Ovis aries: one gene and its partners. The protein of the gene in region 1 purifies or fractionates together with the protein of each later gene. This does not show direct contact. Links are inferred from orthologs where the notes say so. Each region holds a gene or a part of one and is shown on either strand. Other genes may lie near its edges.

Region 1 (3,942 bases):
GGAGCAATCAGTGTGTTCTCTCTAAAGAGCCAAAGTGCCCATGACCCTCTGCAGAAACCCCACATCCGTGCCTGCAGGCTCTGGGGGGCTCCTTGAGCACCTAAAGCCCCCTGCCCCACCTTATCTTCCATACCCACAGCCAGTCTTCAGCAAAGACCAGCCACAGAGGTCTCCAGGGTGTCCTGCTCCCTCTCTGGAGGTTCCCCTGCCCATCCCATTTTGGGGGACCAGATTCTTCAAAACCTGGTCCCTTGGCTACCACCCCAAGGTCACAGGCTTTGGAGGGCTGTGTGACCTGGACCACTAGAGCCATGGGCTCCTTTGCTTCCCATTTGAGGGTTCCCTGAGGGCAGGGCCAGGGTGGACAACTCCCTGTGCATCCCACATGGACACTTGCACTTGTTGGAGCCAGAGAGCAAGGCAAAGATGGACCCAGGGAGCCACAGGGACGACATGCTGCACTGGGGTCCCACGCGGGCAGCCCCCAGGCCTGTACCTCTGGTGGGAAGACCTCACACCCTCGATCGGCCCCTGGCCAGGGCCCCTCAGGGATGCCGCATGGAGGGACGAGAGGACACTGGACTGCCACGTTTTGGGGCTCCAGGACCCGAGTGGCCAGGGAGTGAGGTACCCTCGAGAATGGCTGGGGTCGCCTCTGGGCAGGCTTGCACAAGCCAGAAGCCAGAGCATATTTGCAGCTGTGGCCGCTGCCTGAGGGCATATGAGAGGGGGCACCATGCCCACAGGGCCCTTAGCAGGCTCTGGAGCCCTGGGACTCCAGTTTGAGGACCAGGTCACCACCACGTGGCCACTCTGCAGCGCCCTCTGTCAGTCCTGGAGTGCAGGAGCTTAGCCCAGGGTCCAGGTCACCACTTCCCAGTGTGGTGGTCCTAGGGTGCCAGGGAACTCCCCGGGGAGGCAGTGGCACACCATGTCCCCACAGCAGCGCCCTTGCCCAGCCCTGGGATGGGGGCGGGGGGCTCATCCTGGGGGGTCGGGCCCTCAAGGGCTGCTGTCACCGCGCCGCCCCCTCCCCGCTGCATACCTTGCCCACAGCCGAGCAGCTGGGAGGCTATTTATAAAGGCGGGTGAGATCAGCAGCCGAGGCTATAAATGTGCGGGCTGTGACCGGGCCCCAGAGGAGCGGCCGCCCGGGGTGCCGGAACTACGGGCAACACGGCCAGAATGAGCGCCAGTGCAAGTGGCGGCTGCGGCGGCAACGACAGTGACAGCAGCAGCAGGTAAGGCCAGGTCGGGCTGCCCAGGGCCCCTGGCAGCCCGTGCGCTCACTGCCTGCCTGCCCCACCCGCAGCTCGCAGGCCTCCTGCGGGCCCGAGTCCTCTGGCTCCGAACTGGCCCCCACCGCCCCCACGCCACAGATGCTGCAGGGGCTGCTAGGCTCCGACGAAGAGGAGCAGGAAGACCCCAAGGACTACTGCAAGGGTGAGGCCCCGGGGAGGAAGAGGAGGGGGCCCGGAGCCCGCCCACGTGGGCTAGGGGTCCCAGCAGGACGGCGCCGTGCCGGGGCAGGGGCAAGGCGCCACCCTCAGCGGCTTCTGTGGGCTCCCTTCCCCAGGCGGCTACTACCCTGTGAAAATCGGGGACCTGTTCAATGGGCGGTACCACGTGGTGCGAAAGCTGGGCTGGGGCCACTTCTCCACCGTCTGGCTCTGCTGGGACATCCAGTGAGTGTCCCCCCACCCCCGCCCCGGGGCTCCATGCCAGCTGGGATCCTGCCCCTGGGCATGCCTGCAGCTATGGCGAGGGCCCCGTGGGTCTGCCTGGTGCCAGCGGCCAACACGGGTCTTGGTGTTGCAGGCGCAAGCGTTTCGTGGCTCTCAAAGTGGTGAAGAGCGCGGGGCATTACACGGAGACAGCTGTAGATGAGATCAAGCTCCTGAAATGTGTGAGGCGCCTCCCCTACCCGTTCCCAGTTCCCTGGGAGCCGCCTGGGGCCTGGCAATGTGGGTGTGAGGCCCGCCCGCCCGGCTCCGAAGGCTGGGGCGGGGCGCCCACAGGGGCAGGCTCCAGCTGGCAAGGCCGAGGGGGAGGACCCAGAGGGCGGGCCTGAGGCTTTTCTTCCAGTGAGGCCCAAGCACAGCGGGACAGGGGGTGCCGGAGGGGCTGCCCACCCTGGGGGAGCAGCCCGTAAGGGGCAGGTTGAAGCCATCTGTGGCCCCTTGGCTTTTACTGCAGGTCCGAGACAGTGACCCCAGTGACCCCAAAAGAGAAACCATTGTCCAGCTCATCGATGACTTCAGGATCTCAGGGGTTAACGGAGTCCGTATCCTTTGCAGGCTGAGCAAACAAGTGTGGCATATCAGCAGGGGCTAGCTGGCTGGTGCCTTCCAGCTCCAGGGGCCTCAGTTTGCTGATCTGTGTGACGGGCGGTTTATCCCTTCCAATGACACTAGTCTATGAAATACCCCCACCACTTCAGGGATTTGTGTCTGGGCATGGGAGGTGGAGCAGATAACCAGGTTGGCATTGGCAATCCATGGCTAGGTTACCCCCAAGTGGGAGGCACCGTCTCTGCGTGCCTTCCCTTTCGGGGGGGGGGGAGGGCTGTCAATAGGCTCTTGGGCAGACATGGGCACAGGACTGGGGCTGTTCTGAGAAACCTGTCTACTCCTCCAGTGCCCTGTCCCTAGGAAGACCACAGAAAGTATGGTGCCAACTGGCACACCAGAGAGTGACAGGGACACTAGGGCGCCACTGGGATGGTGGTGATACAGGACCTCCCAGACCTAGCTCTATGCTGCCTGAGCCTTGGGGCTCCCCCACCCCAGCTGAGGGTGGGCAGGACCTAGGCCCCGGTTGCACGCCCAGCAGTTGCCCTTCACTCCTGGCCCCAGATGTGTGCATGGTGTTGGAGGTCCTCGGCCACCAGCTGCTCAAGTGGATCATCAAGTCCAACTACCAGGGCCTGCCCGTGCCCTGTGTGAAGAGCATCGTGAGGCAGGTGAGCTCTTCCTGAGTTCGGCAGGAAGAGCCCTGTGGCAGGCAGCCAGGGCAGGGCGGGTGGACTTCAGGACTGGCTCTTTCCAGGTGCTGCACGGCCTGGATTACCTCCACACCAAGTGCAAGATCATCCACACAGACATCAAGCCCGAGAACATCCTGCTGTGTGTGGGGGATGCCTACATCCGGCGCCTGGCTGCTGAGGCCACAGAGTGGCAACAGTCAGGGGCACCACCCCCATCCCGCTCCACAGGTACCCAGATCCTGTGTGGGGCCGGGGCAGGGCCCGTGGGTCTCAGCCCCAGCCTGAGTCTTGGTTCCTTTCTCTTCCTCCCGGCTCTGCCTGCTCCACCGCAGTCAGTACCGCCCCCCAGGAGGTCTTGGTAAGTTGGGCCGCCTCTTTTCCTAAGCCTCATTTTCCCATCTGCTCAGAGCTCACTTCTCAGCCTCTCTGGTTCCCCTTTCTCCCTAACTCTCCCTGCTGCCCAACACTCCTGCAGGGGCATGTCCAAAAGGCCAAGTGGCCTGGATGAGGGTGATACAGAGGGGCCACAAGCCCCAAACGGCCCTGGGTGGCCACTGGGGCTCACCACCACCTCCCCGGAAGGACAATATGTTTACAGCTGGCCCCAAGGGAGGCTGGCGCCCAGCCAGAGGCTTCTTGGTTCCTCCTCGGCCTCCAGCTCTGGAGAGTGGAGGGCAGGAGGGGACCCAGGAGGTGGGCGAGGTTGCAGGACCACATCCTGATGGTCATGGAGTCCTGGGACCTGCAGACCTTGTCCCCTGCGGGAGCCCTGTGGACAAACTTGGGCTGCTCCGCGGCTGGCTGCCAGGCACCCCCGGGCTGACCCTGGCTCTCTTGGTAGACAGGGAAGCTGTCAAAAAACAAGAGGAAAAAGATGCGGCGCAAGCGGAAACAGCAGAAGCGGCTGCTGGAGGAGCGGCTGCGAGACCTGCAGAAGCTGGAGGCCATGGAGGCCG
Region 2 (4,074 bases), on another chromosome or scaffold:
ATCAGGGAATAATGACAAATTCCAGGATGGAGTGAGAGTGGGCACATGGGAGATAAATGAAGTCAGGGAGAAACACTGGGACTGGTAATGTACTATTTGCTCTCCTTTTGGTAGATTTTCAAAGCTTCATTTTACTATAGTTCTTTAAATACTACACATATGTAGTATACAGTCTTTTGTATGCATGTCACAATAAAAGAGGTTGAGCGCAGAAAACAGTGGAAAAGAGTGGCGAAGGTATGGAAATCATGTATATCATTAGCAGGACCAATGTGAACAAACCCAAATGTTACAGTATACAAATGGTTATTTCTGACCTGGGGTAAAATCTCTAGTGTTTTCATCATAAATGGATTCAAAAGGTCTGTAATGAAAGTGGTATACTCTAGAAAACTGTTAGAGAAGTCAAAAAGCAGCCCTGGTGATGGCAAGGAGAGTGATAATGAAGATGCATGAAACTCTTCAAAAGAATTTTTTTCCATTAGATCACAGTGAAAAAAAAGTACCTTTAAATTAACAGGATTTTACATGTGACTTTATGGATGATTCATTAATCTATACATTAAAATAAGGCAAGTAGACATGTATTTCTTCTACATCTATAAAACTATATGTATATTCAAATTGTCCAAAAAAAGTTTTCTTTCAATCATCCTATTGGGATTATGGTGTTATATTTGGTTCACACGGTTACCTAGGTGTCAGATTGGAAACACAGTTTTACCTGGAATGAATTTTTGCCATTTCTGATCCACATTGTACTTCACACAGTGATTTCCTGAAGGAAATATAATGATCTGTTCATCGAAGAAGAAGACATTGTTGGACACGTGGGATCGAAGACCAAAAACATGCAGCGACTGAGCTACCACAGTGGACATGGTCGGGTAGTTCCGCTAAAGATGCAACGCAGCTAGTGAGCACGGACACGCGCGAAACCGCGCCCACCCGGCCGCACCCGCCCCGCGACAAGCCCGTGGCTCCGCCTCCGAACTGCTCCTCCGCCCCCTCCCCTTAGCAATCTCCGCGGGTGCCCCAGACCCGGCTCCTGCGTCTGCTCGTTCCTCTCGCCCTCGCGGCTTCCTGCTCCTCTGGACAACCCCCAGGGATCTCTCCCACCTGTAAGCTTCTGCTCTCTGGATAACCAGACCACGCGTGTGTCCCGTGTACTACCCCTACGAATCCGAAGCAACCCGGCACTCACCGACGCCGGAGCGGTTCCTATAGCAACGGCAAGCCGGAAGTATGTCAGCACCCGGAAGCGGAAGTCTTTTGCTCAGAGAGCTCAGGAGCAGCTGTTTGCTCCCGTGCGGTTCGAGTCCACGTGGGTCCGCTGCAGGAGGGCAGGGGGCTGCAAAGCGGCAGCGGCGAGGGGCGCCCTTTTCCAGGCGCGGGGGGCTCGGGCTACTCCGCGTCCTCCGGTAGGTGTGGACTCGCGCGCGGTGAGATGGACACCCCCCCGCTCTCAGGTTCGGACTCCGATTCTGATGACTCTCTTGTCACAGACAGAGAGGTAGGTATCATCCGAGCTCGCGCGGCTGCGCGAGGAAGAGGGTTCCTCACTCTCCCATTCTCACCGGAGAACGTGCCCTCTAGTTGCAGGAGGCGTTTTCCCGAGGGCTTCTGAAGCCAGGCCTCAACGTGGTGCTAGAGGGGCCGAAGAAGGCCGTGAACGACGTGGTGAGTTCGGGCGCCCGGTCGGAGGATGCTAGACTTGGGATGCGCGCGAGGTACTGTTGTGCTCCAGAGACTGCGTTCTAGTTCTAGGAAAGACACACCCTGCGCATTGCCAAGAGTGTCAACTACCTGTCGGGGTCTTGGAGGTTGGCACTTCATTTGTTGGCCTGTTACCTTTTTGTGAGCTTGGTGTCTGAATTTCCTAGAATGGCCTGAAGCAGTGTTTGGCTGAATTCAAGCGGGATCTGGAATGGGTTGAAAGGCTTGATGTGACTCTGGGTCCGGTACCAGAAATCGGTGGATCTCAGTCAACATCTCAGAACCAGGATCCGAAAGCTGTTGATCCAGAAGATGACTTTAAGCGTGAGATGAGCTTGTATGTATGCTTTCAAGTGTGGGAAAGGTTGTGGGTCCCTGCGCTAGAGAGTGGGGAGAGGGTGGAAGCCGTGAGCATGTGTTCCTTCGAGGTGTCCTAAGCCTGGGAGTAGGGAGGAAAGCTTCTTTGGACTAAGGAGTAGGAGATGCTCCGTGGTTGAGAGAAAGGCCCCATGGTCCAGCAGTCACAATTTAAAGTCCAGTTTATTTTCAAATACTAAGTTTTAAATTTTTTTGTGCAGTTGATTATGAGAACAAAACGTTGCTTATGTGGGATCCTTATATAGACTTTTTTTTTAGTGACTAAATAAGAATGTGTAATTGGCATTTGTAAGTTAGTGAGCACTTCTAAAGTGGTCATTCTGTTAAACTACTAATTCATTTTAAGCAATACTCCCCACCCCTTTTAAAAGAGTGTACATCTAAATTTCTCCTGAGTTAATGAGGTTTTATTACCATTTTTGTTTGTGTGTGTGTTCTTGCTGGTGGAGGTCAGGTGTTGCGGGCTCTTCCGACCTTGGATGCCTTATGAGAGGCAGTCAGAAGGATGTAAGACCTCTCTGCCTTAGCTTATTTCACACTTTGTCCTACATCTGCAGCTACCGTCAAGCCCAGGCAGCGGTGCTTGCAGTATTGCCCCGCCTCCATCAGCTCAAAGTGCCTACCAAGCGGCCTACGGATTATTTTGCAGAGATGGCCAAGTCTGATCAGCAGATGCAGAAGGTAAGAAATGGAAGAGGTTTTCTCTGGAAGACTGAAGCTTTGTACTTAAGTCTATACAGCTGGCTTGTCTCCCTTAATGTTCAAACAAACAAAGGCATAACCACATTGATAGGGAGCCAGTTGTCAGAGGAAAATTATTATCTCAGTTACCTATGTCAGATTCATGCTAATCAACACCAGTTGGACAAATGTAAGGTTGACTTTTTCCTAATAAAGACAGTTAAGGGAGGAAGATAATGTAAGAAGTGTGGTCCCTAAGATGATCTTTATGCATCTCCTAGCTGGCATGGTCATGGCATGGTGTTTGGAAGAGACAACAGTTCTTTCCTGCCGTTGCCGGGGCAGCATTATAACTTGTAGACAGTTACCTTTCTCTGAGCCTTAGTTTTTCTTTGCTCTAGAATGAAGGATTAATATATGGCTTAGATTTGGCATAATTTACAGTTAGGTAAGTTAAGTTAAGGCTAGTTAAGGCTATGGTTTTTCCAGTAGTCATGGATGGATGTGAGAGTTGGATTACAAAGAAAGCGGAGTGCTGAAGAATTGATGCTTTTGAACTGTGGTGTTGGAGAAGACTCTTGAGAGTCCCTCGGACTGCAGGAAGATCCAACCAGTCCGTCCTAAAGGAAATCAGTCCTGAATATTCATTGGAAGGACTGATGCTGAAGCTGAAACTCCAATCCTTTGGTCACCTGATGTGAAGAGCTGACTCATTGGAAAAGACCCTGATGCTGGGAAAGATGAGGGCAGGAGGAGAAGGGGACGACAGAGGATGAGATGGTTGGATGGCATCACCGACTCAGTGGATATGAGTTTGAGTAAACTCTGGGAGTTGGCAATGGACAGGGAGGCCTGGCGTGCTGCAGTTCATGGGGTTGCAAAGAGTTGGACACAACTGAGTGATTGAACTGAACTGAACTGAACAGTTAGGTAGAATTTGGTCCTTATTCAACTTTGAGAGGCAGAGAATTACCAATGTCTAATCCAAGATATATCTGAATAGTTCCCTTGGGTCTCAAACTGGATTTTCTTGTCTCAGTGGTACTCAAAGAAGCTAATCTAGAGACGAACCCAGACCCATTTCTGCACATTCAAATTCATAACTGTTCATTCTTTAACTGAAATGTATATGTTTAATGCAAACGGCTAGGTACCTGATATCTGAGTTTTTATAGTACAGATGATATACTGGAGAAGGAGGCTAAAGCTGCATACTGGTTTCACCACAGTCTGCAGACGGTATGGATGGAGAGAAGTTAGTCTTTTCTCCTGATTCAGAGGCAAGCAAGCTGTTTTGTT
Region 3 (4,088 bases), on another chromosome or scaffold:
GAACGACTTTTGGCTGGGGGGTACTTTTATGTTAAAATTTGACTCTTGAAGATGTGTAAGAAATTGTGAATATTAATTATCTTCAAAAAGATGGGGTTTCAGGGGAACATGAGACAGTTAATTTCATATATTTTATACTATTAACTTGTCATCAATACTAATTTTTCCACTGCATGGCAGTGGAATTACATGGATTTGTAGAGATCTGCTCATCCCCCTTCTAGTTCCCTCTGGACCTCTGAAGTCCGTTCTCACCTGGAGTTCTTCAATCTTGGACAGATAATATTGGCGGAGTCCACTGCCTGTCTTCCCCTCTTCCAGCTCCATCTGAGGACACAGTGTAATTATTAACCAAAAGGCTAAACATCCAAAGGATAAAACTATTTCCACGTTGACTTCGGAGATTCAAGATTTGTGTTCTCGTCCCTCACTCCATCTCTTCACAACCATTTCCTTAAGACTAAAACAGAATGAGAATGCCGCCTGCCTCTTAAGACTTTCAGGAGGATCAAGAAACAGCGCATCAGGGAACGCTACACAATCCCGAGATGTTATTTGTACAGGAGCAGCCAGCACGGGGCTCCCGAATCCCGCCAAGAGTGGGTTCCCGCTCCCGCGGTTCTCACCGCTCCCGCTGTTCTCACCGCTCCTCACTCAATCGGCTTCCACCCGGTCTTCCACTCCCGGCCCTGCCGTGACCCGCCGCGGGCGGCGCTGACACAGCAGATCCGGTCCCAGGCAGGGCCCAGTCTAGACTGGCCCACCCACCCCGGACGCCCCCGACCCGCTGGCCCCGGCCGGCTGCCCACCTCGGATCGCACCTGCTTCTCATCCAGCCCCGGTCCCCGCCCGGCCGCCGCCGCCATACCTGCTCTGGTCCGTCAAGCGCCATCTTCCCTCTTCCGCGGAGACCGCCGGCATCAGAGCCGCTTTGGCGCGCAGGCGCAAAGCCGGCGCTTGCGGGGTGGGGGGGTACCAAAGACTCGGGCAGAGAACAGTTCCGGGTCAGTGGGCGGGGTGTGAGGACGGACGGTAACAAATAACAAGGGACATGAGGGGAGGGACGGAGTTACCCTAGGTCAGGATCTTTGGTGTAAAAGGCACAGAACTCCTAAAGTTACTCTCTAGAAATTCGGTTTTGGCGGCATGCCAGCTTCCAACTTATAAAACCTGGGGAAGGATTACAGGGAAAATATTTGTGGCCACGCTCTAAATGGCGGAAAACTTGGAGCCGGGACGCGAGCGACGCAAGCGGAAACGGAAGTACGTTTGCTGCCCACATGTGCCTCTCCAAGGTGGAGAAAACGGTGCTGGTTGCAGGTGAGTGGTGTCGAGTAAGACTCCGAGTGTCTCCGCGACAGCGAGTGGGAAACGGAAGGCGGAATCTAGTGCTCCGGGAAGAGACGTTCCAACTTCTGCTTTCTCTCCCGCTTGAGTGGTGCCCCCACGTTACACCATGGGCAAAAAGAGCAAAGTCGGGAAGAGCCGGCGGGACAAGTTCTATCACTTGGCGAAGGAGACCGGTGAGTCAGGGTTCGTGCTGTCAGAGCAGGCGAGCCACCGACCTCGGTCGGTTCGCCCCGCTTTCCGAATATTGAGTTTCTTTTCCGCAGAAGGGGTAGTGGGTCGGGAGGCCGTAGAAATCGCGCTGGGAAAGCGCTTCGCGGACCTTGTTACAGAATTTTGTCGCCGCCTCCAGGTTACCGCTCCCGCTCTGCTTTCAAGCTGATCCAGCTGAATCGCCGCTTTCAATTTCTGCAAAAAGCCCGAGCATTGCTGGACCTGTGCGCTGCACCGGGTGGATGGTGGGTAACACCTGGCACCTGACGCTCCTTATGGAAACTTTCTGGGTTCCAGCCTTGGATGACTGAGAATTGACGTTGAGGGGCGGGAGGGATACAGTAATACCAGCCTCAAATTTCTGTACTCCCCAGAACTGTAAGCTTCAGGAGGGAAGATTTAGAACGTGTACATACGTTTGGCTGGTACTGGCCAGGGTTCTTCAGCTCCATTCAGTTGCTCAGTTGTGTCCGACTCTTTGACTTCTGCACACCTGGCCCCCCTGTCCATCACCGACTCATGGAGCTTGCTCAGACTCATGTCCATCGAGTTGGTGATGCCATCCAACTATCTCATCTTCTGTCGTCCCCTTCTCCTGCCTTCATTCTTTCCCAGACCAGGGTTCTTTGCCTTCCCCAATCAATAGAAATTGATTAGGGGCCAGACAGGAAATTCAGGCAAAGCTTTACTGGGGCCCCTGCTGCAGCAGGAGGGCGTGAGAACAAGTAACACGTTCCCTTGGTTGCTAGCTCCTGGAGGGGTGTGAGCTGATTCTTTATACGGGGTGAGGGTTGCTGTGTGTCTAGGAGCCCAGCCTTAGGAGTGGCTTCAGTGGTTTGCTCATCCCGTTGATGATGGTGAGTGTTGGGGCAAGTGCAGGACCCTGCTTTTGCTCCTAGCACTTCATAGGTGGCAGTGGATTTGTTTGTTTTTTGGTCTTTTGTATCTTGTCCAAAATTTACCCCAGCTGGCCATGCATACAGTTATTTTTAGTCACTTGTGGTTTGTTTGTATTTTATTATTTGAGGAGTTGTTTGTTCAGCCGCAAACACTGCAGCAAAAGGTCCCAGGTCCCAGAGACTCCCAGCACTGAGGGTGAGAGATCAGATTGTCAAGGGAGAGGGAGAGGTGGTCGAGGGTATTTTAATCTTTACTTTTTTTTACAGGCTGCAAGTAGCTGCCAAGTTTATGCCTGTATCCAGCCTTATTGTGGGTGAGTGACCGGTGGCTCTCTTAGGTGTTCCGGGGGGGTGGGAGAGTGAGACACTGTGGTTCTGCATTTCCTTCCTCCCTGCTCGAGGCAGCCTTTTGGAATCCTCTGCCCTCTTTTCTTCCAGGAGTGGATCTGGTCCCAATCAAGCCTCTTCCCAATGTGGTGACCCTCCAGGAGGACATCACAACAGAACGCTGTAGGCAGGTAATAGGAACCTTCTTTTTCCCATCCTTTTTATAAGTAGACATCTGCATCCATCCCTCTTCCCACCCTGAGCCCCTGAAAACACGTTTTTCATGTTTACCATGCCCTAAGCAGTGCCCACACATTATCTCTGTGACAAGGCCCAAAAGACAGTGTGTCCATCCAGCCTTTGTTTATTCAGGAAAGAGGTGTTTGGAATTAGAGGAAGTGCAGAGATTTCCATGAAATCCTTTCCAGCAGGTTCTCTATAAACTAAGCTCCATGAGGACAGATAGGTTTGCTTATCGCTGTATTCCCTGTCCACGGCACAGGAATTGGCCTGTGGCAGGCACTCAACAAATGATTGGGTGGACAGATGGCTGAACCAGTGATTCAGTTCATAGCCATGTCTGTATTTCAGTTGCAGTAATCTCTTCCTTCTCTGCAGGCCCTGAGGAAGGAGCTGAAAACTTGGAAGGTTGATGTTGTGCTCAATGATGGGGCCCCCAATGTCGGGGCTAGCTGGGCCCATGATGCTTACTCACAAGGTGCCGGGGTCAGAGGATGTGGAGATAAGGGTGGAGGCGGGCATGCCCTCTCAGGCTGCAGAGGTCCTCAGCTTACCGTCTCTGTCCCACAGCCCATTTGACGCTGATGGCTCTGCGTTTGGCTTGTGACTTTCTGGGCCGTGGTGGCTGCTTCATCACAAAGGTTTTCCGTTCCCGTGACTATCAGCCCTTACTGTGGATCTTCCAGCAGCTCTTCCGCCGCGTCCAGGCCACCAAGCCCCAAGCCTCTCGTCATGAATCTGCGGAGATCTTTGTAGTCTGCCAGGGTGGGTGTAACTTCATTTGTTCTCTTGATTCAGTCTCCTACCTACCAAAGCACACTTGCTCGTGAATCCTATTATCTTAGGTTTCCTGGCTCCTGACAAGGTTGACAGTAAATTCTTTGACCCCAAGTTTGCCTTCAAGGAAGTCGAAGTTCAGGCCAAGACCGTTACAGAATTGGTGACCAAGAAGAAGCCAAAGGTGTGTTAGGGGAGTGGGCCCACTCTCAGGTCCTGGAACCTGGGGGAGGCTGGGCCTGGTGGGTCCTACAGACAGCCCGGAAGGGACTGACTGCTCAACCT
Region 4 (4,015 bases), on another chromosome or scaffold:
CACCCATGGCACGTGGGAATAAGATGAAAATTCCTGCAGCCAAACCGGTTCACACAGTTTCATCTCACGCCTGAGAGTAAATCCGCCAAGCCAAACCGTAAAGCAACTTTACTGAGAGGCGGAGGAAACTCACCCGGCGATACTGGGTGACCTCGGGGTCCCCACGTAGACCTTCGCCTAGCGCTCTGGATCTGAATGTACTCCACGCGCGCCGGAAGTTGGGCGCGCGGAATCCGGCGCGCTCGGCCCTCCCACCCCGCCCTCGAGGGTTCGCCTCCCTATTGGCTGGCGGGGCCCGTGGTCCCCACCCCGAGGTAATCAAGAACGACGCCCTCCCGCTCTCGGGCACGGCCTGAACCTCCCCTCCGGAGCTAATCTCTTAAACCCTACTCGTTTACAGTGTTTAATTCTGTGGTACCAGGTGCCACGTAAAATCTACTCTCCCCTCCAGAACCTCCTGAGCTCTGACGGTGGGGAGCGCCAAAATGCTAAACCCATGTTCAGCTACTTGTGTGTTGCTTAGGAATCAGAACTGACCGGCTACTGTGCAAAAGTCTCGTGATGCGCCTGGCTCCTGACGAGATTAGAATGCACCAGGGTTTGAGCTCAGCTGGCTCGTGACCTCTGACCCAATGCTAAAATGGGGGGAAAAAAAGCTGATTATAGGATGCCACGGGAGAGAGATGGGGGGATGAAAACGTTATTCTTCGTACGGTGGGCAGGCGCTGATAATGTGCTTTCCCGAATGGATCTCCCCTGCCGAAACGCGGAGACATGTTGGAGCACCCTGTTGCCCTCCCCGCTCCCTTTCCTCACGGAATTTAATCTCGGGTAGTTAGTGGCTAAAATAAGCCTCTTAAACGGCCCCCCCTCCCCCAAACGCTATTGAAGACTGACAACTGAAGCCGACACAGCCACCTCGAGAGAGAGACTTCTCCTGTAATGGCGCCTGCGTCAGTCACTAACATGGCGGACACAGTCGTGCGCGGCGCAAACGTCAGCAGCTCTACCCCAAACGCTCAGAAACAGCGGAGGAGAGCGGGGCCGTGCTCGCTGATAGGTTCGGAGGCGGAGCGTACCGGTCTGGCTCTCCCACAGGAGCCAATCAGGACGGCGAGAGACGGAATTGGCCGCTGCGCCTCCTCCCGAGGCATGCTGGGAGCCTGGAGGACTGGTGAGGAGGAGTTGAGAGAACGGAGCGGACGCCATGGCGACCAACATCGAGCAGATTTTTAGGTCTTTCGTGGTCAGTAAATTCCGGGAAATTCAACAGGAGCTTTCAAGGTAAGCTCTCCTCAGACTCTTCTGCTCCCAAAGGACCGCTGGGACCCCACGGGGCCTTCCATGGAATCTTTCTTCGGAGACGCTGTCGTTGCTCGTCTCAGGCCCGGCTACAGCCCCGCCTGGGCCTGGGATCCATTTTCCGGCCCCCCCACCCCCATCCGCTCCCTCCCTTCCCGGCGAGGAACTTCGCCCTTTCCGAGATAATCCCAGGCTGTCTCTTCTAGAACCGAGTTAAGATGCTCAGCCTTCTGTCCTGTTTGGGTATCCCCTACCGTCTAGCTACTGTAGGCCTGCTTGTCCACCGGGGATGGGCCTAGTTCCTTCCTCAGCTCTGCCGCCGCGCTTCCCCTCCCCCTCTCCGCCTCCGCGGATTTCGCCGGCCGGTGTCTTTGACCGGAAAGGGGTCTAACGGCCGTTTCTTGAGTAATCTTAAATACGCTTTATTACTGCAAGCTTCGGACCACTTGGGGGTCGGGATCCTTTGAGAAGATTATTTGGGTCCTAATGTCCTGTGGCTTCCACCAGGTAGCATTTTAAATAGTCTGGTAGATTAGAAATTTAAATTAAAACAGTTAAAGTTAACGTTAGTTATTTTGACAGAATATTCGAGGCGAGGATGGAAGGAGACTTTGAATTACTAGTAATTACTAAATTTAGCAAGCGAAAAGTGGAGTTCGTGTATTGGTCTAAATATTCTTGCTCCCTCTGCCCCGATTGACCTATTTGACCAACACGCTGTTTTTGTCATCGCTACTAGTTTACCCTTGGTTCCACACAATTTGAATGGGAAGAGACTTTCAAAGAAATAGTTGCTTACTCGGAAAGGAAAATCGCGTGGGTCATGTTATTTAGTGGTTGTCTTTTTGTATTTTTATTTTGCATAACGTAAACATTTGTTCCGAGTTGAAATGCATTGTTAGTTGTGTTTTAAAAAGTTGAGAGCTAGAATCAAACGTGAGGTGAATTTGAAAAATAGCCGGAAACTCAGTTGTAAACTGAATGCTCCAATTAACATACGGTTATGGGGTAATGATATAGATTTGCTGGAATTCTTTGCGTATACATTGTTTTTCAAGTGGGAAATATATCTGTTCATTGATTTAGTTGCTTTTTGAAATTTTGTAATATGCTAGTTATTTTTAGGATAGTGAGAAACGACCTGAGCTAAGGGAATAGAATTTTCCTGGAAACTTTTTAATAGTTGCATGCAATCAGTAGTTGTGTTTGATAATTGTAATGTCTTATTTCTATACCTTTTAAAAATTAGGTTTTGTATTAGAAGTTTTATTGTTGTATTAGGTTTAGAAAAAATAGAGAAACGAATTTTAAAACGCATGGTTATTGATCTTTATCTTCTTTCACTTTTTTTCCTTTGCATACAGATGCACGTGTTTTGTGAAATGTGGTCATCTTGTTTTGCGTGTTTTTTTTTTTTTAACCTGTATATTGTGAACTTTTATCATGGTTTGGAACATTTTTCCAGGCTCCATAGAATTCTGTTTATTGTAGGATTGTATTGATATTTAGGTGCCTTGACATTTCCACCCTTTTTCAGTAGTTGAATGAACATCTGGAGAGCTTTAAGATGATTACTTTCTTATAGATTGCCTGTTTTTTTTTTTTTTTTATTCCTACTTTTCGGATTTTTAAATCCGTGGATTTTTTAGTAAGGTCAGCACAGTGTAAGTGCTTAGGAAAAATGTAAAGAAAGTCCAGGAAGAAACTCTAAAAAGAAAATTAGATGAAGCAGTGTATTACTGGAGGAATATTCAGCTTCTTTTCAAGTAACGTTATACATTATCAGTGTCAAGATTATTTGCTGTTTTAGTGAGCTGTAGTTCTTTTGTGTGTTTGTCATTTATTTTTTAATGTATATTGGTTTGAGTGAGGAGACTGATAACTTTAATAGCTTAAAGTTTTTATTTATAGATGGTTAGGAGTAAGAGCTCTGGTTTTGAATGCCAGCTTTACTGCTTAATAAATGTGTAATCTTCAGCTAGGTTTGTTTTGTTTTCTTTGGGCCTCATTTTCCTCATTGAAAAATCAGAACAATAGTGCTGATTTCAGAGTTTGTGGGGATAAATGAGTTTAGAAATGTAGAACCATGTGACCTTAATTAATAGTTAATAAATGTTAAATAATATTTATTGTATGATTCATTGTATTAGAAAACCAAATATTCTTTAATAACATGAAAAGCTACTGAATATTTTTGGTTAAAGCTTAAATTACAGTAAGTCACACATACTGTTGTGAAAGCATTTTTCGAAACAATTTTGTAAATTTGTACAAAATAGTACAAGTGACAAATGATAAAAATAAATGATATATAAAAATGTATCTTCTGTCAAGATTCTTCTGTTCCTGTAAATTGAAAATGTTAAGTGATTCATTCATTGACTGTTACTATAAATGAATTGGTTTACATGGTTTTTGGTAACTGGGTGAAAACTGTATGTGTATTTTTTCAATATTGTGGCATTTCAGTAACTGAAGAGTTTCAACCTGATCTGAAGCTACCAGTTATACTTTTGACTAAATGTCTGTGGCTGAATTTTTGTTCCTTCATATTGCTGATGGTGATTGTGATCCATCTATAGGTGTAGCTTTATTGTCACTATAGCATATACCATAATGTTAGGGTAATGTGTTTTTCTTTGGTTTGGTGATTGTGATCTTAGTAATTTTCCCCTGAAATATTCTGGTTGGGGAGTATTTAAATTTTTTTTTA
Region 5 (2,990 bases), on another chromosome or scaffold:
GAAATGGGTAACCAACCCATAGTATATCAGTAACAAGTAAAAGAGCAGAGAGTGTGGGCCGTTGTCACAGTGATCGGAGATAACTTCACTGCCCCGGGGATGTGAGCAGAGGCTTGAATGAACATATCGGAAAAGAGTATCCAAGCAAGGGGAACAGGAAGTCCAGAGGCAAGCTTGTGCTCCCCTGTTTGAGAAACAGTCCAGAGGCTTCATCAGTGGGCACTGGGGGGCACCATAGGAGGAGAGTGGTCAGAGGGGTCACCGGGCCAGGTCGCGTGGGTCCTTGTAGGGACCCAAGTGCACAACGGAGCCATGGGGAGTATTGAGCAAAAGAGTAATTCAATCTGACCTCTGGGAGGACCGGTGTGGCCTGTAGAGGACAGACTGTTCCGAGGGCTGGGGCGAGAGCAGGGAGACCAGTAAGGAAGCTGCTGTGGTAGAATTAAAGCACCTTCAGAAGCTGCACCAGGCCTGTGGATAAGGGCCAGAAGGGCAGTGGAATGGGTGTTTGGAATCTTTGAGGAAGCAGCTCTGGCGGTTGGTGAGTGAGCTCTAAGATCAGAAGGTGGGGGGTAGGGTGGGGAGGCCAGCACCTACTACAGCTGTGGGGGGATGGGGTGGGGGGGTTTGAGGGAGGCAGCCAAGGCTGGGAAGGCCCACCTCCCGTATCCAGGCCCAATGCCCCCTTCTGCCCAGTCTTCCCTGAGTGAGCCAGCTCCCATCTCTAAAGGATGGATTCACTGGGCACCTACTATGTGCAAAGCACTGGGCTAAGTGCTTCTCGGGCTGAGAGCCACTAACCCTCCCATCACCCTTTGCAATGGGAATGGCCCTCGTCTCCAGGTAACACAGACTCAGAGAGGCTGCCTAGCCGACTGTCACACAGGTAGTAAGTGGTGGATCCACACCTGGCTTCCTTCAATCTTCAGGTAAACGCAGTGCTCTGAGACTGCACTGCCTCGGTGTCTTATCCATCAGTCACCTGTGGCTGTTTAAATTTAAATAGCTTACAATTCAAGTTCAAAATTCAGTTTCCTGGTCATCAGCCACCTTTCAAATGCTCAGCAGCCCGTGTGACTCGCCGCTCCCTGATTGGCCAGTGTAGATAAAGGGCGTCTCCACCGCTGCCCCAGGGGGGATGCAGCACAAGTCCTGCCTGAGGCTCCGTGTGTCCAGCTCCCCTCTGTCTTGTCCCTTTCGGGGCCTCGTGCCCCAGTCTGAGATGCCCGGATGTAAGGGCAGGGAGGGAGTCCATGCAGCAGGCCCTTGGGGAGGGCGACAGGGAGCAGTCGGGGGTGGGCTGGGGTGGGGCAGGCAGAACTGGGGAGGGGGGAAGCAGGCTGAGGATGGACAGGCCTGGGGTCAGGGTCCAGGCTGTATGTGCCAGACTCCTAGGGAGCAGGCGGGGGGAGAGACGAACTGGAAGAGCAGTACTGAGCCTTCCCCGGGGGTGGGAGTGGGGCCTCTGCGCGGTGCCCACTGCAGCCTTCAGAGCCCTGCTTACTGTGACCGTGTGGGCTGTGATACAGTGGATGTGGATAAACAGGAGCTCTGGAAAGTCAAGAAATTATTGAGGGAGGTGGAAAGGCCACTACGAAAAGATCTGTTGAGAAGGAAAGAAGGCCCGTGGGACACCCGCACCCAAGGTTTCAAATCGTTCAGGAAAAAAGGAAAGGGAGGGGCGTGGTTGCAGAAACCCCCAGGCCCGCATCACCAGGCAAGGCAGCCCTCAGCATTTGCCTGGGCTTGTTCCTCATTCCTTCTTGCTCCTCAAAGTGTTTTTCCTTTTTCCTGGAAGATTTCACAGTGTATCCTACATAGGTCATCCAACCCCTAGATCCTGGTGGTGTTCTTACAGAGGTGATCTCGCTCCTCCTGTGACCTTGTCACTGTCACTCTAGAATATCCAGACTTCCCTGATGTTGCCTAGCTGCCACTCCGTGTTCACATTGCCCCTGCTGGGAAGAGAGACTCTGAATCACTGCAGGGGACCGTGACCATTCACATGTTCTGAGATGAAACGGGCACCCCAGTAGGGAGTGAACCCTGCTCCAGAGGCGTCCACACCCAGGCCCCCTGCACTTGGGCAGAGCAGTAGAGCTTGGTAGCAGAGGCCGTTTGGCCTGGACCTTTGATCACAGACTGCTCCTCAGGAGCAGGATGACCCAGAGCAATTATTTACCCTCTCTGAGCCTTGGTCAGCACCTCTGCGAAGTGGAGAGAATGAGAGTACCCGCCTTAGGCACATAACCAGGGCTTCAGAAGTGGCCTTGGGTGTGATTGGGAGCCCTTTCCTGCCCCAGGCCTGGACAGTCAACTGCCTGGGCAGCTGGCAGGTGGGGAGGTGATTCTGACTGCGTTCTGGGGAAGAAGGCCCAGAGCCGAGAGGAGGGAGGAAAGCAGGCATCGCAGTGGCTCCTTGAACACCCGCTCCCCCCATCCAGGTTTTCCCAGATGGTTCAGGACAAGCCCCTGCGCACATCCTGGCAGCGGAAGATGAAGGACCGGCAGGAGAGGAAGCTGGCCAAGGACTTCGCCCGGCACCTGGAGGAGGAGAAGGAGCGGCGCCGGCAGGTGAGGGGTGGGCCAGGCGGGGGGCTGAGCGGGTGTTGGCCGTAACAGGGGCAATTGGGGAGAGGAGCTGTCCTCTAACCCAGAGACCTTGGGAAGACAGGGAGCTGGGCCAGAAGCAGAAGCGCAGTCCAGGACCCCAGGGTAGGGAAGCCCAGTGGAACATCACATTTAGCCAGGAGGCTTATGTGAGCCCCAGGGATGGGAGGAGGCTGAGGATGAAGACCCCTGGTTCCTCACTGGTGATCAGAGCATTCAGTGAGATGGGCTCAGGGGTCCGTGCCCTGGACCTGCTCTGATGGGAAGAGCTGACGAATCGGGGGCTTTATCCTGAGTGTTGTTGCCAGTGTCCTCTGAGACACAGCTCCCATACAGCAGAGAGGGCTGCCTGCAGAATCCTCCAGTCCTCCCTGACACTC

Evidence for each region.
Region 2: the proteins of SRPK3 (region 1) and EBNA1BP2 purify together in Homo sapiens (affinity purification with mass spectrometry; 3 studies listed by BioGRID and IntAct, with this or other methods). This does not show direct contact. The link is inferred for Ovis aries from reciprocal best matches to the Homo sapiens genes SRPK3 and EBNA1BP2.
Region 3: the proteins of SRPK3 (region 1) and FTSJ3 purify together in Homo sapiens (affinity purification with mass spectrometry; 3 studies listed by BioGRID and IntAct, with this or other methods). This does not show direct contact. The link is inferred for Ovis aries from reciprocal best matches to the Homo sapiens genes SRPK3 and FTSJ3.
Region 4: the proteins of SRPK3 (region 1) and SON purify together in Homo sapiens (affinity purification with mass spectrometry; 3 studies listed by BioGRID and IntAct, with this or other methods). This does not show direct contact. The link is inferred for Ovis aries from reciprocal best matches to the Homo sapiens genes SRPK3 and SON.
Region 5: the proteins of SRPK3 (region 1) and CCDC86 purify together in Homo sapiens (affinity purification with mass spectrometry; 3 studies listed by BioGRID and IntAct, with this or other methods). This does not show direct contact. The link is inferred for Ovis aries from reciprocal best matches to the Homo sapiens genes SRPK3 and CCDC86.

Annotation. Positions count from the first base shown.
Region 1 is NC_056080.1:80,500,651-80,504,592, reverse strand, and holds the start of SRPK3 (SRSF protein kinase 3), read left to right. Parts: upstream 1-1,137; 5' UTR 1,138-1,185; coding exon 1,186-1,241; intron 1,242-1,312; coding exon 1,313-1,443; intron 1,444-1,576; coding exon 1,577-1,685; intron 1,686-1,818; coding exon 1,819-1,906; intron 1,907-2,196; coding exon 2,197-2,284; intron 2,285-2,855; coding exon 2,856-2,962; intron 2,963-3,048; coding exon 3,049-3,214; intron 3,215-3,318; coding exon 3,319-3,344; intron 3,345-3,827; coding exon 3,828-3,942. UniProt on the Homo sapiens protein: Serine/arginine-rich protein-specific kinase which specifically phosphorylates its substrates at serine residues located in regions rich in arginine/serine dipeptides, known as RS domains.
Region 2 is NC_056054.1:17,855,414-17,859,487, reverse strand, and holds the start of EBNA1BP2 (probable rRNA-processing protein EBP2), read left to right. Parts: upstream 1-1,266; 5' UTR 1,267-1,447; coding exon 1,448-1,513; intron 1,514-1,596; coding exon 1,597-1,680; intron 1,681-1,883; coding exon 1,884-2,053; intron 2,054-2,651; coding exon 2,652-2,775; intron 2,776-4,074. Other genes in the region: CFAP57 (cilia- and flagella-associated protein 57), read right to left, coding at 725-881. UniProt on the Homo sapiens protein: Required for the processing of the 27S pre-rRNA.
Region 3 is NC_056064.1:47,800,464-47,804,551, reverse strand, and holds the start of FTSJ3 (pre-rRNA 2'-O-ribose RNA methyltransferase FTSJ3), read left to right. Parts: upstream 1-1,278; 5' UTR 1,279-1,456; coding exon 1,457-1,523; intron 1,524-1,699; coding exon 1,700-1,805; intron 1,806-2,726; coding exon 2,727-2,773; intron 2,774-2,897; coding exon 2,898-2,977; intron 2,978-3,404; coding exon 3,405-3,504; intron 3,505-3,596; coding exon 3,597-3,791; intron 3,792-3,871; coding exon 3,872-3,987; intron 3,988-4,088. Other genes in the region: PSMC5 (26S proteasome regulatory subunit 8), read right to left, coding at 256-327, 869-892.
Region 4 is NC_056054.1:122,631,120-122,635,134, reverse strand, and holds the start of SON (protein SON), read left to right. Parts: upstream 1-1,207; coding exon 1,208-1,284; exon of another isoform or gene 1,285-1,425; intron 1,426-4,015. Other genes in the region: GART (trifunctional purine biosynthetic protein adenosine-3), read right to left, coding at 1,080-1,221. UniProt on the Homo sapiens protein: RNA-binding protein that acts as a mRNA splicing cofactor by promoting efficient splicing of transcripts that possess weak splice sites.
Region 5 is NC_056074.1:34,552,374-34,555,363, forward strand, and holds part of CCDC86 (coiled-coil domain-containing protein 86), read left to right. Parts: intron 1-2,444; coding exon 2,445-2,574; intron 2,575-2,990.